Linked DNA regions of Mytilus edulis. The protein of the gene in region 2 purifies or fractionates together with the protein of the main gene of each other region. This does not show direct contact. Links are inferred from orthologs where the notes say so. Each region holds a gene or a part of one and is shown on either strand. Other genes may lie near its edges.

Region 1 (8,321 bases), on a different chromosome or scaffold from region 2:
TACATACTCAAACATTTCGGCAAATATCCACCTCTAAAGACAGCTACAAATGGTCATTCTTTCCGCAAACAATCATTCAATGGAACATGTTGCCACAAGTTGTGGTAGCAAGTCAAACCATTGAAATTTACAGAGATCAGTTGACACCAACTGTTCTCCACAACATAATTTAATTCTATAAATAACAATGTACATATTTTTTAATCACTTGTTGTTTTCTTTCATGTAAATATCACCAAGTATTCTACTAAGTTAAAGATAAATTTTTGTTCATATTTTTTAATCATATACTCCGCGCATGCAACAGTTCGTAATCTTCAATAATAATGAAGCTGTAACTGTATATCAGAAGAAGAAGAAGAAGATGCATGACCTCTATATAAATATGCATGGGTCTTGAAGTTGACCAATTTTGCTAACTTATCGACTTGTAGGAGTCAATTTTTGCAACTTTTTAATTAAGGTAAAATATTTCTTTCTAAACACTAATGGACTTATTGAAGTCATAAATTGTCTTAAATTAAAGGGAGACAAATCGTTGAATCTACAAATTAAGACCTCTACAAGTCAAAAGCAGATTCAGACTTATCTATGTCTGAGCTCTGACTGTTACAAAATATGCATAGCAATAGAAAGTAAAATAAAGGCAAGGCCAAATAAAAATATATGTGTGGTTCTAGTAACCCTACCGTCCCTACTTTTTCGGCTTAAAAATAGCCTACCCTAAAGATTTTATTGTCATTTTTCATTAAGTACTGTTAAAGTCAGAATGTTGCTCCCATAGACTCAATGTAAAAAAAAAAACATAAAATAAAAAAAAAATCCCTACCTACCTACCCTAACTTTTTTTCAGATGTAACTGGAACCACACATACTTTTTTATTTAGCCCAAGACAGTTTTTAACCAATCAACATGAGCAAAGAGCATTCTTTAGAACTTTCACAGCTTCTTGTGGCAAAATAAAATCAAAAGAAATACCAAAATATCTTATCTTGCTGATAGGAACAACTTACATCAAGAAGTTTATCTTTCCTTGGCCTTCTCCGTGTTTTATTGTTTGCTGTTGGAGATATTCTTTTAGAAGATTTTGAGAGTAAGGCTTCATGACGATAGTCCAATTTTAGTTTCTGATCTTCGTGGGAGAGGAAACCTTCATGAGACATGTCTTCCATGGGATCATATTCTGTAGTTTCATACTGAAGGTCATCATCAATAACTTCTTGTTTTATATGTGTTGTCATTGGAGTATTGTGAATTAAATCACTTTCTCCTGGGTGTCCTTCGTCCGTTTCATATTCTGGGCACTGTAAGAAAAAGGCGTATTTATGATTACTTGCGTTTTTTGGCAAAATCTTTCAAAATTTGTGTCCTCGATTTCATAAATGCTCTGTAACTTTGATCTCTATTTGAAATTTAAACTTTTTTTTTCATACTTGAGTCTTATTGATGAGTCTTATGTTCAGTTAACAATTCACATGACAAGCATACAAAATATTAATCCTGGTATCTATGAAATTATTGCTTACAGCAGGGCAATAACATTGCATTGGCTTTGATAAGAAAAGAAACTTTCTGAATATAAAAATATTAAAATATGGTATGTCAATTAAAAAAGATTAAACCAATGAACAATACAATATATATCCAGATATTCGAGACAGAGAATATACATGTAAGCATGGTGACAGGCATACATGCATTGTTTCCCATATCATATAAAAGAGAAGATGTGGTATGATTGCCAATGAGACAACTCTCTGTAAGGGACCAAATGAAATAGGAATTAACAACTATAGGTAACTGTACGACCTTCAACAATGAGCAAAGCTCATACCGCATAGACTTTGATATATCTCTTTCGATTTGAATCATATTACAATAATTATAGTAGAGGTAATTTGATAAAATATACAAGTATTTTTTTGAGAAAATTAAAGGAAGATTATTCAAACATTATAATTCACTTATACATGTTATATGAGTTTATTCTATTTACTTCTTCAAGTAAATAAAAATTACTTGTACAAGTACTTGAAATAGTACCCCTGACTGTCCTATAAAGTGTTGTACAAATAATTTAGTTTTTTCCTGCATATACAATGTATCTACATGTATGCTCAAGTGACATCAATATGATCTGTAGTCAGTACCTACCAATGATCCAGGTGAGTCTGGTCCTTCAATGCCAGCATTTCCATTACTTTCAAAATCATCTTGATCTAAAGTTTTAGAATCATTAGTATCACTGTCTTCCATCTAGATAAAAATATCAAACATATACATGATTATGCAAGAACTTATAACTCATTACATTGATTGTAATCATGGTAATATAACCACCATAATTTCAGATCAAACAAATTAAAATGAATTTTTGATATACATGTATTCACTGTCTTTAAATAGCATTACTTTTAAACCTTATTAAGAGAACCACAAAGTTTTGAAAAATCTTAAATTATTCTCAGAAAAAATATTTGCTAAACACAAGCAAGGTAACATATTTTCACTTTATGGTTTTCAAAATTTTCTTAGTAGACCCAAGGATTTGTATAGTAACTTACTATACAAATCCTTGGTAGACCTACATTAACAGATTAAGGCATTTTTTTTTACATACATCCCTACCTACTCTACATTGATTTTTTTTTTGTGAAGCACTGTTAACTTGATTAATGTTCAAATAAACATAAAAAGTCAATGTAAAGTGAATGGTTTTTTTTCTTGTTAAACAAATTGATAATTTCCCCATAGATCAATGTTTACATTTTGTTTTGAAGAAATAATTTTAATTAATTTAGCTTAATGTAGTATATATAACGTTACGGTACCCAAATTGCACCTATTTATCAAAAGTAGCAGCAAAAATCTAACAAGATTTCCTAGAGACTAAAAAAATGGTATTTTTATGATTTGATACTATGCACGTCTTTCAACATAGGTAAAAATATTTAGATATACACAAAACGTTCACAATATTTATCAACAGATGAAGTGTTTACTGAAAAAGCAAAATGTACTGAAACGTCGCCATGCGACGTCATCAAAACGTCATCTTTTTAAAATTAACAAATACAATACGTTTCAAGTATCCATTTCTTAAAAAATGAAGAGTAAGCATGAACAAATATCCAATTGTTCAAAATATTTGAAAAAAATAAACAAAAGCTCTGTTATTCGACTTTTTACGATGCGAATTTAAGCATGGATGCAATTTGGGTACTCCTCATTACAGAATCTGGGATGGTTTGGAGGTAAGTTCAGACCAATTTTTCTATGATTCCTTATGGATTGAAAATCAAATTGGTGTACCTTTATAATAAAGAAGGATACGGCTACAAAATAAACACAAAATGGAAATTTTTGTTTTGATCATAAAAAAACTTAGTTGAAAAAACTGTCAAAATAGGTGCAATTTGGGTACCGTCACGTTATTTATATATATGTGTGTGTGTTAACTGTGCTTATATATTTTTCAGCCAGATTGGCAGCCAGCACAAATTTATTGTTGAAAAAAAAAATCACCTGGTAAATACATGTGTATAAAAAAAACCAAAAAAAACGTTATTTTGTCAATATTGTCTATTGTGCTCTTTCCAATAAAATATTGAATTGAATATTGCCAGGCGGCAGGAATTAAGCGTATATTTTTTGGCCTGAATATCATTGAAAAAAAAAAATTATGATGAAAAGGAATTAAATTGGTACTCCAGTTTATTTTTCAACTATAGTTGATATTACAAATGTAACTTGACCACTGGCTATAACACATACATGTAGTGCAATATTTTTTATATTGTACAAACTTTTGATAATGATTAAACAATGAAGTTTATAACAGTTATATTATTAAATAAAATAAACAACATAATCATAATGATTTGTAGTTTATGAAATATCAAGTCAATACATTGTCATATAACACAAATAGAATGACATTGTCATGAAATGATTACTATGTATATTTTTATTTACTATGTATTTTTTTATTTACATTGTACATGGGTAACACATATCTGGAGACCGATAAAAAGTCATTAAAATTACAGAGTTTTTGAAAATTGCAAATAAAATGACGTTTCACGCAAAACTGGCAGCGGATCGCCTCACGTTTCACTCCCACATAAAGGTGGAACCGCCATGATGTTCAATATTTTCTTCCTCGTTCAACAAACCTGTGAACGTCTACCCGAGAGGATTTCTTACCACAAAATGTAAACAAAATAAGTTCGTTCCCTCTTAAAATGATACTTCTCTATCCAAACTAGCTAATAACAACTTCAACAATTACCTTTGGAATGTAATGGCACGCTTTTCCTATGACGTCAACGTACGTTACTTGGTGCACACGTAATTCACGTGGACTCTCGTAGTGTGCGAGATTTTACGCGACACTGACGGAAAACGGAAGTGGGAAGTTCATGATGTAAACAAATGCCCACTTGAAAGTTTTCACGTTTATATTAATCTATTGAAAGAAAAGGCATAGATAGTGGTAAATTGAATATTTCTATTGTTTATTGACCGTAGTAATTATCGTATACAAAATACTTTAGTCACTTTAAAGCCAAAGGGAAAGCGTTGCCGTAGAGTCATTGGTTAACGCCAAAATTTATTTCTACAACGGGCACAAACACCAGGTAGCAGTCGTGTTGTCATGTTTTTTGGGGGCAAAACCCAGTTTTTTTTTAATGAACAAGCTCTACTGCATCATGTTTTTTTATTGTTTAATATTTGTGAGGACCTTTTGACAAAAATGTACTTTTTTCATTGTTTTTACACCACAAGTTTAACATGTTTACAGTTTGTTCGAAAGTAAAGTCTAAATAATTTATGACACAAAGCATTGTCAATGACAAACCTAGTCCAAATAATTATGATGTCTAAGTTGTCTGGCAATGATCTTTTTTTTTGGGGGGGGGGGGGGTTGCTTTCTGGGACGCCAAAAAATAAAATAGCCTTGCCAGATGTCATAATTATTTTGACTAAGACAAACCATGAATTTGGCGGGTGGGCCGGTCTTTTCACCACCAAACACCACAGAACACCGCCGAACACCCCAAAAACCACCAACCACTAAGAAAAACTGATATTATCATGATTATACAATAAAACGATAAATAATTTAAATTACAATGTACGTACATGTATATTTTAATCAATTTTTAGATTTTTATGGGCATCATAATTTATGTTAAAAATCGATAATCAATATAAGGAAAAAACGTCTCAGGATTCATCCCTTTTTGGATAACACAGTCTGGGGACTTACTGAAATAAGTGATTTTTAAATCACTTATTTGAGTAGCAAATTCAATGTTTTGTCACAAATTGGGATTTTGTAGTTTTTTCAAAATTTTAAACAAATAGGTTTAAATAATATCTTTCAATTAGTAAAATTAAAGAATATGAATTTTTTGGTACTTAAAAAGTAGCAAGGTTTATGCCTTTGATGCTATCATTTAACTGAAAATTCTATTTTAGTTGAAAAAATGCTATAATAATGGCTTTCCATAATGAACTGATACTTTCTTAAAAGATTTTTCACAGCAGTGGGAGTATTTTTCCTGTGAAGTTCAAGGTTTCATCTTTCAGATTATGTAATAAAATTCTACTGTTCGACGATAAAAATTTCACTGTTCGGGGGGTGTTGAAATTAGTGGGGGGTTGTTAACAGAATGATACATTATAAAGAAGTGATTTTTGGGGAAATTGAGGTCTGATACTTAAACAAGTGATTTTTATGTCATTATCCTAGATTCAGTACAAGGTCATCACCTGAAATGACCTGGTCATCCTAGACAACACAGATGTTGGTTCTGATAAGTTTAGAAACATAATTAGTCCCTGGATCATTAGTATTCAGAATAATATAAACGTGTAAACACAATTTAAACAATGTTAAAGTAATAGAATACAATTCCATATGTCTAAAACAAGATGCATTTGATAATTATTTCTCTAATATTCTATAGAAATTTATCCGTTTCCGAACCCATTGTATAAAACAATTTAATCAACATGTGGTTTCTGGTGATCTCAAAAGATCATTGGATGATTCTAAGGGTCATATCCTCTTTAGCTAACTGGATAAATCAAAATATGCTAACTGGTGTTAATGAAATTGACAACTTCATGGAATGTGAAAGGCACTCAAAGGGGATTTTCGTTTAACAAAAAAAGAAAATTTATTTTTTAATCATTAGCTATATAGAGAAACAGATTCTTACATAGTTACTCATGGATTATCGGATTTATCCAATCTTGATAGTTAAATTATGAATTATAAAATTGATAATTTAACTATCTCGATTGGATAAATCCGATAATCCACTCGTATCAATGTAAGAATCTATATATATATATATCCATTCAGAAAACTGGATTTATCTTTATCGTTTGCTACTTCTACTGTTGCACCTGAAATAAGATAAAACATATTTCAGGTCTTCATAAATACATGTACATGTAGCTTAAAACTAAAATTAAGTGTTATATGTATGATGAATACATTTATTTGAATTAATGATAATCCATGCGATATATATAAATAGATAATCTATTTTATTTAGGATCATTAATGCTAAGAACTTAAAATGTTTATATATATTGTTTCTGTTTTTGTCACTTGTTTGTAATGCCTCTTTAATTTGATTCTCATCTAAAAAAAAATTTGTATATTACATTATAACATTATCTTGGATCATCTCAATGAGATTGATTTTCTCCCTTGAGCCGGTACAGCGAAAGTGAGAAAAGCAATTGAGTTTAGATGACCAATGATATTCTGTTTATATTATAGCAACGCCATGTGCCCCCTTAGTTTCTAGCGATAATTTATCACTTCACTGAGAAAGGAAATTATAAGTCAGCAAGATCAAAGACCTGGAGATACTTGTCATATGATTTGTTTTATTAAAATTTGTTGTTGTCAGGTTAAAAACAAGAATAAGTATTTCATAGTAATTAAACCACAGGGTCAACTTCAAATAACCATGAGTCCATGATGGCTGTAAAAATATCATGCAGCTTCAAGCCTTGTATGTATTTAATTCAATGATTCTGATAGTACAACCTATTTATAAAATCTTTTCCCTCACTTGAAGTAATTCTCATGTTATCAGTAGTTACAACAAATGCATAAATTAGATATAATACAAACATATGTTGTTATGTAATTTTAATTCAGTACAAATCATTGAAATGTAACTACACGTCAGAACCTCTATAGATTGAATGATTGTAGTTGCTATTTTTAGAACCTATATAACTATTTAACATGTACATGTATATGTATGAATAGATATGTATTTACTTAAACATATACAACAAATGTACAATGTATACATATACATAAATCAACTTTGGTAGAGAATTGTTACATTTGCAATCAATACCACATCTTTTTATTTTTAAAAATCTTTCAAATTTATTTTCAATTTGGTCTATATACATATTATAAGAAGATATGGAAGGAGTTCCAATGAAACAACTCTCCATCCAAGTCACAATTAGTAAAAGAAAAATCATCACAAGTCAAAGTAGGCTCTTCAACACGGAGCATTGGCTCTTTCCAAACAGCAAGCTATGAAGGGTCCCAAAATTGTCTAGTGTAAAACTATTCAAACAGGAAAAAACAAAGACCTAATCTATCATGTCTATATAAAAAACGAAAAACACTTATTGATAATTTAATATATATAAATTCTATTTTCAGGTCTCTTCAAAATGAGTTTACCAGCGCCATTAGATCTGGGACGAATGGAAGCAGAGGCTAAAGAAAATGCCTCTAAACATATATCTAATCTGCTTCAGGTTTGTGCTTAACATTGGGCTGAAACAACACTTATATTTTTACATGCAACAACACTTATATTTTTACATGCATCTGTTATGTATTCTTACATATATCTACCTTTCTTACACATTGTACAAAGGACAACTTTTCAAATTTGATGCATTTCCGTCAAAAACTTTGGTTTTAGTGAACATCATTCATGCGTTTAGGGGCATCATCACTTCCGTTCCCATGTTGAGCGAGTGGTTGGAAACATATGATGCTATATTGGTTTATTGAATTATTCGGCAAAATGATTTCTCATAATTGACAATCAGCTCTGCTGTCATTAGGGAATTGTGATTAACTACCTACATGTACAACGTATATAACAAATATTATTTCAAGTTTATCCTGAACAATGGCAATCACTAAGACACTTGATGAACGTTTATAGTGCAGGAATACAGGTGATCCCCTTTATCTGGTAAACAACATCGTAAGGGCATGCATAATTGACGAGTTTTTCCAGTGAAGGACAAA
Region 2 (8,396 bases):
TTAATGGATCTGAATGAAATTGTACCACAAGGTTCCATACCTAAAAAGGAAGATCTGTGATTGATTTTAGGGGTTAGCATGGTCATAACTGTTTAGGAATTGGGGCTAAAAACAATGCTATGACCTATAGTTGTTAATGTCTGTGTCATTTTTGTCTTTTGTGGATAGTTGTCTCATTGGCAATCATACCACATCTTCTTTTTTATACTATGTATAACTACCGGTAGTAATTAAAATTGAGAATGGAAATGGGAACATGTCAAAGAGACAACAACCCAACTAGAGCAGAAAACTGCCCAACCCCACGAAAGGGTCTTCAAACATGACGAGAAAATCTCTTTCTAGGTGGACTTCAGCTGGCCACTAAAACTGAAATGTGTACTAGAGAAAAAGGATGTCATGCTTAACATATAAATGAATTTAGATTAAAAATCATACAAGACTAACAAACGCCAGAGTCTCCTGGCTTGGGACATGCAAAATTGTGACTGGGTTAAACCTGTTTAGTGAGATCTCAACCCTTCGCCAATAGCTGTAGCCAATCTAGAAAAAACAAACACACACCAAAATGCACATCAGCTTAAAAAAATCAGTCTGATGTCAGAATATGTAATAAAAGAAACTGTAAAACAACTTCTTAGTCCTTCATCTAGGTCATATTGAAGTTGCAGAAAAAATAGACTATGGTATGACATTGTCGTCTTCATCCAAAGACATTTGGTATCCAGACAATAACTTGTATGTCAGTGAATGGATCTCAATGAAGTTGTATCACAATATTCCATACCTAAATATGAAGGTTTGTGTTTGATTTAAGGCAGGTAAACATGGCCCTAACTGTTATTAAAGAGACAACAACCGGACCAGAGCAGAAAACAGCCCAAGCCCACAAAAGGGTATTCAAACATGTGACTACATGTACTAGATAAAGTATTTATAGTATAAAGTGTTCTATTTCAGAATGAAATAGACCTAGATACTTTATATCTTGTATACAAGTGTCCTATATTATGAAGTTTTTGTTTGCTATATGTCTGTTGCCTTTGATCTCATTTTTGTCGAGCCTTCGACTTAAGTCGAAAAAGCGAGACTAAGCGATCCTACATTCCGTCGTTGTCAGCGTCAACAAATATTCACTCTGTGGTTAAAGTTTTTGAAATTTTAATAACTTTCTTAAACTATACTGGATTTCTACTAAACTTTGACAGAAGCTTGTTTATGATCATAAGATAGTATTCAGAAGTAAATTTTGTAAAAATAAAATTCCATTTTTTCCGTATTTTACTATAAATGGACTTAGTTTTTTCTGCGGGGAAACAAAACATTCACTCTGTGGTTAAAGTTTTTAGAATTTTAATAACTTTCTTAAACTATCCTGGGTTTGTACCAAACTTGGACAGAAGCTTGTTTATGATCATAAGATAGTATCCAGAAGTAAATTTTGTAAAAATAAAATTCCATTTTTTCCGTATTTTACTATAAATGGACTTAGTTTTTTTCTGCGGGGAAACAAAACATTCACTCTGTGGTTAAAGTTTTTAGAATTTTAATAACTTTCTTAAACTATCCTGGGTTTGTACCAAACTTGGACAGAAGCTTTTTTATGATCATAAGATAGTATCCAGAAGTAAATTTTGTAAAAATGAAATTCCATTTTTTCCGTATTTTACTATAAATGGACTTAGTTTTTTCTGCGGGGAAACAAAACATTCACTCTGTGGTTAAAGTTTTTAGAATTTTAATAACTTTCTGAAACTATCTTGGGTTTGTACCAAACTTAAATAGCAGCTTGTTTATGATCATAAGATAGTATCCAGAAGTAAATTTTGTAAATAAATAAATCCATTTTTCCATATTTTAGTTTTAAATGGACTTAGTTTTTCTGCGGGGAACCATTACATTCACTCTGTGGTTAAAGTTTTTAAAATTTTAATAACTTTCTTAAACTATCCTGGGTTTGTACCAAACATGAGCAGAAGCTTATTTATGATCATAAGATTGTATCCAGAAGTATTTAAAAGTTTGTAAAAAATTACTTAAATTTTTCTGTAATTTACTTTTAAATGGACTTAGATTTTCTTACAATCATAAAATAGTAAGAAGAGGAATATTTTTATTGATTTTTTTCCTCATTGTTGTTGAGCCTGCGATTTACAGCAAAAAATAGGCGAGACACTGGGTTCCGCGGAACCCTTACAAATTTTTATTATTAAGTGACTGAAATGAAAAAAACTTTAGTTTTCTTTATCACATGAATTTCTTACTTGATAACTTTGTTTGGTATGAGGATGCCTTTGCAAAGACTAAATGTCTGTCAGACAGTGTTAACCTGAACTTGGCCTCATTTTAAAGAACAGTATTCAAGGTTAGATATAAAAGTAAAGTCCATATCTCAGATACTTAAAGCAATAGGTTAAATAGGTCAACTTTATGTGGCATATGGACAGATATCCATAGATATAGGAAGATTTGGTATGAGTGCCTATGAGACAACTCTCCATCCAAATAACAATGTATAAAAGTAAACCATAATAGGTCAAGGTACAGCCTTCAACGCAGAGCTTTGGCTCACACAGAACAACAAGCTACAAAGGGCCCCAAAATAACTAGTGTAAAACCATTCAAACGGGTCTAATCTATATAAAAAAGAGAAACACAAATAACAAATGACAACTACTGTACACCAGATTCCTAACCTGATTGGTAAGACCTGGTAAGGTTCATACAAACTGGTTCCATTTTGCAGTATTTGTTGGTGAATGTTCAGTTTTAGTGGTTGTGTCTGGATCTCAGGTATAATAAGCAATTTGGTGTAATTAAAAATTGTGAAGTTTAAAATTAACATGTTTGCTGGCAAGGTTCTTCTGAATTTGACCTCATTAACCTGAATCATCCATAGAATTAAATGTTACTGATACTAGTAGTTAAATCTTCATCCATGATCAGTAAAGCAGGGACAGCCATTTACGTTTGTGCATTCTCATTTTATTATTTAAGTTCCCATATGCTCTATTGAACTTGGTCAATTTTACTTTCCTATATTGTTTTAATATCATTGACTAGAACTGGGGTATTGCTATAAAATAATGTGGATTGGGTATTCTTATGTCTTTAGTTGTTTTGAGTTTGGTTTCTTTGCATTTGGAAATTTTAACTTCAGCTCTGACCTTATCAAGATTCTGATAGCATGGTTAATTGTACATGTTTTGCATTATTGAAACGTCCCAGTGAATAGTAAGGGAGCTACCATTTGATTTAAGGGGAGGGCAGGATGATACTGAAAAATGCAGGACAGGAGGTTTGAGTAAGCAAGGACAGGATGAGCAACTGTGCAAAAAAAAACTCAGGATAGCAATTTATGTAAAAAAAAAGTCAGGATAGCAATTTATGTAAAAAAAAAGTCAGGATAGCAATTTAAGTAAAAAAAGTCAGGATCGATACTGGTAAACTAATAAAAAAACACAGGACCAAATAAAGTGAAAAATACAAAAGAAGGACGGAGATTACAACTTAAATAATGCAGGACAAAATATTTCATCCTATACTTATTTGAGGTAAACTTGAAAAAAAACCAATAAAACATGCTTGATTTCTGTAACCACTTGAAACTCATCTATCCCACACAATCCTTTGTGTGTCATGTTTGAAAATTTGGAAAAATGTTCATGCTGATTAACAAATGTTGCTACACCCACAAAAGCAGAGCCTGGGACATTTTGAGTAAATGATTCATAAATCTCCTTTGCATTTTGTAGAAGATGATTCTAATAGCTATCAAACGTGGTTGACACTAAACATTATTCTATATGTAAAAAGATAATTGGGGAAATTATATAAGATGTCCTGAAAAGTGACAATTAATTTTATATATATCGATATATAGTTCCAACTTTTAATAAGAATTGCAGCTGATAAGGCAAACTACCTGAGTTCAATGCAGTTTAACAAAGAACCCTATGATAAGACAAAGAAATACACATGTAGTGCATACAATATCTGGAGGGGGACAACTAATTCATAAACTCGATGATCATAACACCAACAAAAAATTAGCAATTACTATCCACATTGATCTGTGTCCACACATTTTTTTATAAAATAGAAATTAGTGTAAAAGAAATTGCACACAACATTTGGTAAATATCTGTTTAAAAAAAAATGATTAATGACATGGCAGACATCATAGATGTATTAAACCGTTGAAGAAATAACTAGAGGCTTCCAGGAGCCCCGGATGACTTGATTTACTTTAAAAATACCCAAATAAATTTTTGAAAAAGTAAGACTTTCATCAGAACCAATGTGGAAACTTATTGCAAGTCTAGTTTGATTGTTTTGCTCAGCATTTCATGAGAATAAGATCGTTGATGATTGTGGCCAAGTTTGGTTAAATTTGGACCAGTAGTTAAACTTTTAGAGGAGAAGATTTTTGTAAAAGTTAACATACGACGACGACGAGGGCGGACAAACAGTATGTGTAACAGTTATAGTAGTCATTCAGTCGTGGAATAATAAGGTATTAGTAGACATATCTTTTTTTTTTTACTCACATGTCAACAATTTTAATAATAAAGTTTTGAGGAATATAAAAATCCGGAAATACTTCGTCTTCAGTCCGATATATGCGTCCTAAATTTATTATATCTGATTAGAGTTATTTCCCTTGGGCACTGAAAAAGTTGGAAAAAGTACATCGATATGTCTCATCAAGTGTCCTTAGAAGAACTCGAACAGGTATCAAGAAAAGCATAAGTATAATTTGTGATATTTAGACTCGTGATTTTAAATAGGACGAAAATGTGAGCCTCTGACACGATTCAAAAGTGATGTTGGAGCAAAATATTTTAATCGTCTGCTTCATCTTTCCAAACTAACTTCCTCTTTTGAAGATTGACACTTTAAGCCGATACTGATCTAGTCTGTCTATAACACAACAGCTGCTTCATATGTCCAGAATTATAGCCAGCTAACAGACAATGAGTTATTGACAGACTGGGCGTGACAACTGAAGGCTGCAAATTATTCATAGAAATTTTCTCTCTTCACTGACATGATATACCTTCTGGTAAATTAGTCAATTTCAGACACCTTTTGCATCGCTGTTGTAATGTTTTATAGATAAATCTCATAGGAAAGCTTACAGATGTGATACCCTAATGTGTTATGTCTTGTATGAAAGTACCTGTAAATTCCTCCGTTATCCGAATAACCCATTGGCATTGAGAGCTGTGGGTGGAATTCATGTACACTCTCTATTGGGATTAATAGGGATGTTATATTTATGACATGTTATTGTTTTAAAAGGACAATCCCCATCCCAACAAAAACATGACAAAGGGAGTGCTAGGACATCGGGAAGTCTGTAATTGTTGTTATGGTAGAGGTAGCAGAATGTCTCGGAGAGGACCACCAGGCTACTTGGCGGAAACAGACAAAGCAGAGAGATATCAGAACTTGAGAAGATTGATCTCCAGGTCAGAGAAGGGAGCCCCAAAAATACCCATTCTAGTTTTTATTACGATCTGAGAAGTGTGGGAGGGTAAAAATCATCCTTGTGATGTACTGAAATTTCCAGCGCCCAGAGTCAGAATCGTCCCTGGGACTTTCAGCACTGTAGTCATCAGTCTTCAACACTAGACCACTAACCCACATATTCTTTCCCCTTTGTCTCTGTTTGTGTTAAGTTTGCACTTTTCAATATAGACTTTAAGAGTGCATAATTTATCTTTGTTTCAAATAAAGAAATACTTGGCATGAGTAAATTTTTATTCTGTCCAATGCTACAACATTTCATTGCATAAATAAGATAATAACCATCTTTGGAAGTTAAACAATCAAATTTTCACCCTTTCTGTCTTGTTTACAAGCTACATGTACATGTACTTACTTACATGTACCATGTTTGATTTTACCAAGTTTCCAAAATATTTATAGAAGCACCAAATGAAAAAAGAATGGTGCTTTGAAACACCCAAGATTCATGTATAATTATGTTTATGACTCATATTTTATTACTGCAATAAAATGTAGCATTAATTTCCTACAACTGTCAAATCAAGGGAATGTTTTTTGGTCTGCAACTGGATGTGATGTACCAAGATTAGGTGGTATTTCACCTACAACTCCATATAAAAATTCTTTCATTTAATAATCTTTATATGCATACAAAATGGTTGTTCAATATTATATTTTGAAAGGCACCTTTTGTGTATGTGCGTAGACCCCTCTTATTCGGAGCACCCCTCAAGAGCTGCAAGAGTACAGTGGAATCCATGTACACTCCCAATCAGGATTAAAGAAGATATGCCACTAATGTATTTACAACAATATTGACAAGGACAATCCCCGCCCTAACACAAAGAGAGGGATAGGACACCAGGCAGTCTTTTATTATGTTGGAGGAAGCCAAAATATTTGGAGAGAACCACTAGGCTGCTCGGTAGGAACAGACAAAACCAAAGAGATTTCACTTTCAGAAGATTGATTTCCATGTGAAAGTAGGGTCAACCTTGACCTATCGAGGCCCCAATAGGACCTCTAACTATATACATAATTGCAAGCACTAAATGACCAAGATTATGTTTTCCTACAACATGTACAAGCAGGTTGAACTAAAACATCTTGAACAAAAGAGATACTTATTTCTTCACAATTTAAAAACTGACAACCAAAAATCATAATATTGTGACATTTTTTTAGTCTGCTTCTTACTTAGAACCTCTCTGTCACTGTAGTAAACACTTAATGCTGGTTTGACTGTGAAATGAAAAAATATCATGCATTCACATATACATTTTGTACTGTAATTATAACCTCTCAATAATTTGGAATAAACTACTAAATGAAATAAAACTATATAAACATCTTAATACTTTTAAAAGAAGAACTTTCTAACTCTCCAATGTTTTTTTAATGTTTGTGTATAATGTATTATTATATGTTTCTTATTCTACAGACAAACATTTAGCATGAAAGTTGAATTATATGTTCAAGAAGTTATAATATTTGTGCTACTTATTCTGTGTGTTTAGTGTGATGGCCTCAAGGTAGACAAGTGAATGCTAATTTAGTCATCCTCTTTTCATTATAATTATCATTATTAATAATATAAGAGCATGTTCTTAAGAATTCTAAATGGAATGTTTAATATTTTTGAAGGAGCCATTTGATGCTCATGAATTTGTCGAGAGAATAGCATGGAGAACAATTCACAATAGAGACCAGGCACAGTTCAACCCAATGCTTCTACATACAGCTTTTGAAAAGATGATTAAAGATCTGGAGGGAAAAAATGCACAAATAGAAAAGAAAATTGAAAAATTAGAAGAAAATTGTAAAGACGAGGAAAAACGTCATTGGCAAAGAGTAGCTGAACTTCAAAAGAAAAACCAGGTTAGTATTTATAACTATAAAAAGATGTGGTATGACTGCCAATGAGGCAACTCTTCATCCATTAGATACAAGAAGATGTGGTATGACTGCCAATGAGACAACTCTTCATCCATTAGATACAAGAAGATGTGGTATGACTGCCAATGAGACAACTCTTCATCCATTAGATACAAGAAGATGTGGTATGACTGCCAATGAGGCAACTCTTCATCCATTAGATACAAGAAGATGTGGTATGACTGCCAATGAGACAACTCTTCATCCATTAGATACAAGAAGATGTGGTATGACTGCCAATGAGACAACTCTTCATCCATTAGATACAAGAAGATGTGGTATGACTGCCAATGAGACAACTCTTCATCCATTAGATACAAGAAGATGTGGTATGACTGCCAATGAGACAACTCTTCATCCATTAGATACAAGAAGATGTGGTATGACTGCCAATGAGGCAACTCTTCATCCATTAGATACAAGAAGATGTGGTATGACTGCCAATGAGGCAACTCTTCATCCATTAGATACAAGAAGATGTGGTATGACTGCCAATGAGACAACTCTTCATCCATTAGATACAAGAAGATGTGGTATGACTGCCAATGAGACAACTCTTCATCCATTAGATACAAGAAGATGTGGTATGACTGCCAATGAGACAACTCTTCATCCATTAGATACAAGAAGATGTGGTATGACTGCCAATGAGACAACTCTTCATCCATTAGATACAAGAAGATGTGGTATGACTGCCAATGAGACAACTCTTCATCCATTAGATACAAGAAGATGTGGTATGACTGCCAATGAGGCAACTCTTCATCCATTAGATACAAGAAGATGTGGTATGACTGCCAATGAGACAACTCTTCATCCATTAGATACAAGAAGATGTGGTATGACTGCCAATGAGACAACTCTTCATCCATTAGATACAAGAAGATGTGGTATGACTGCCAATGAGACAACTCGTCATCCATTAGATACAAGAAGATGTGGTATGA

The links. Proteins that work in one complex are often made in the same cells at the same time.
Region 1: the proteins of exocyst complex component 5-like (region 2) and exocyst complex component 3-like purify together in Homo sapiens (affinity purification with mass spectrometry; 7 studies listed by BioGRID and IntAct, counting the BioPlex papers as one, with this or other methods). This does not show direct contact. The link is inferred for Mytilus edulis from reciprocal best matches to the Homo sapiens genes EXOC5 and EXOC3.

Annotation. Positions count from the first base shown.
Region 1 is NC_092355.1:42,989,238-42,997,558, reverse strand, and holds the start of exocyst complex component 3-like, read left to right. Parts: upstream 1-4,379; 5' UTR 4,380-4,496; exon of another isoform or gene 4,497-4,512; intron 4,513-7,718; 5' UTR 7,719-7,729; coding exon 7,730-7,816; intron 7,817-8,321. Other genes in the region: glucocorticoid modulatory element-binding protein 1-like, read right to left, coding at 1,015-1,305, 2,156-2,257. UniProt on the Homo sapiens protein: Component of the exocyst complex involved in the docking of exocytic vesicles with fusion sites on the plasma membrane.
Region 2 is NC_092346.1:8,164,519-8,172,914, reverse strand, and holds the start of exocyst complex component 5-like, read left to right. Parts: upstream 1-4,606; 5' UTR 4,607-4,698; coding exon 4,699-4,734; intron 4,735-7,158; coding exon 7,159-7,392; intron 7,393-8,396. UniProt on the Homo sapiens protein: Component of the exocyst complex involved in the docking of exocytic vesicles with fusion sites on the plasma membrane.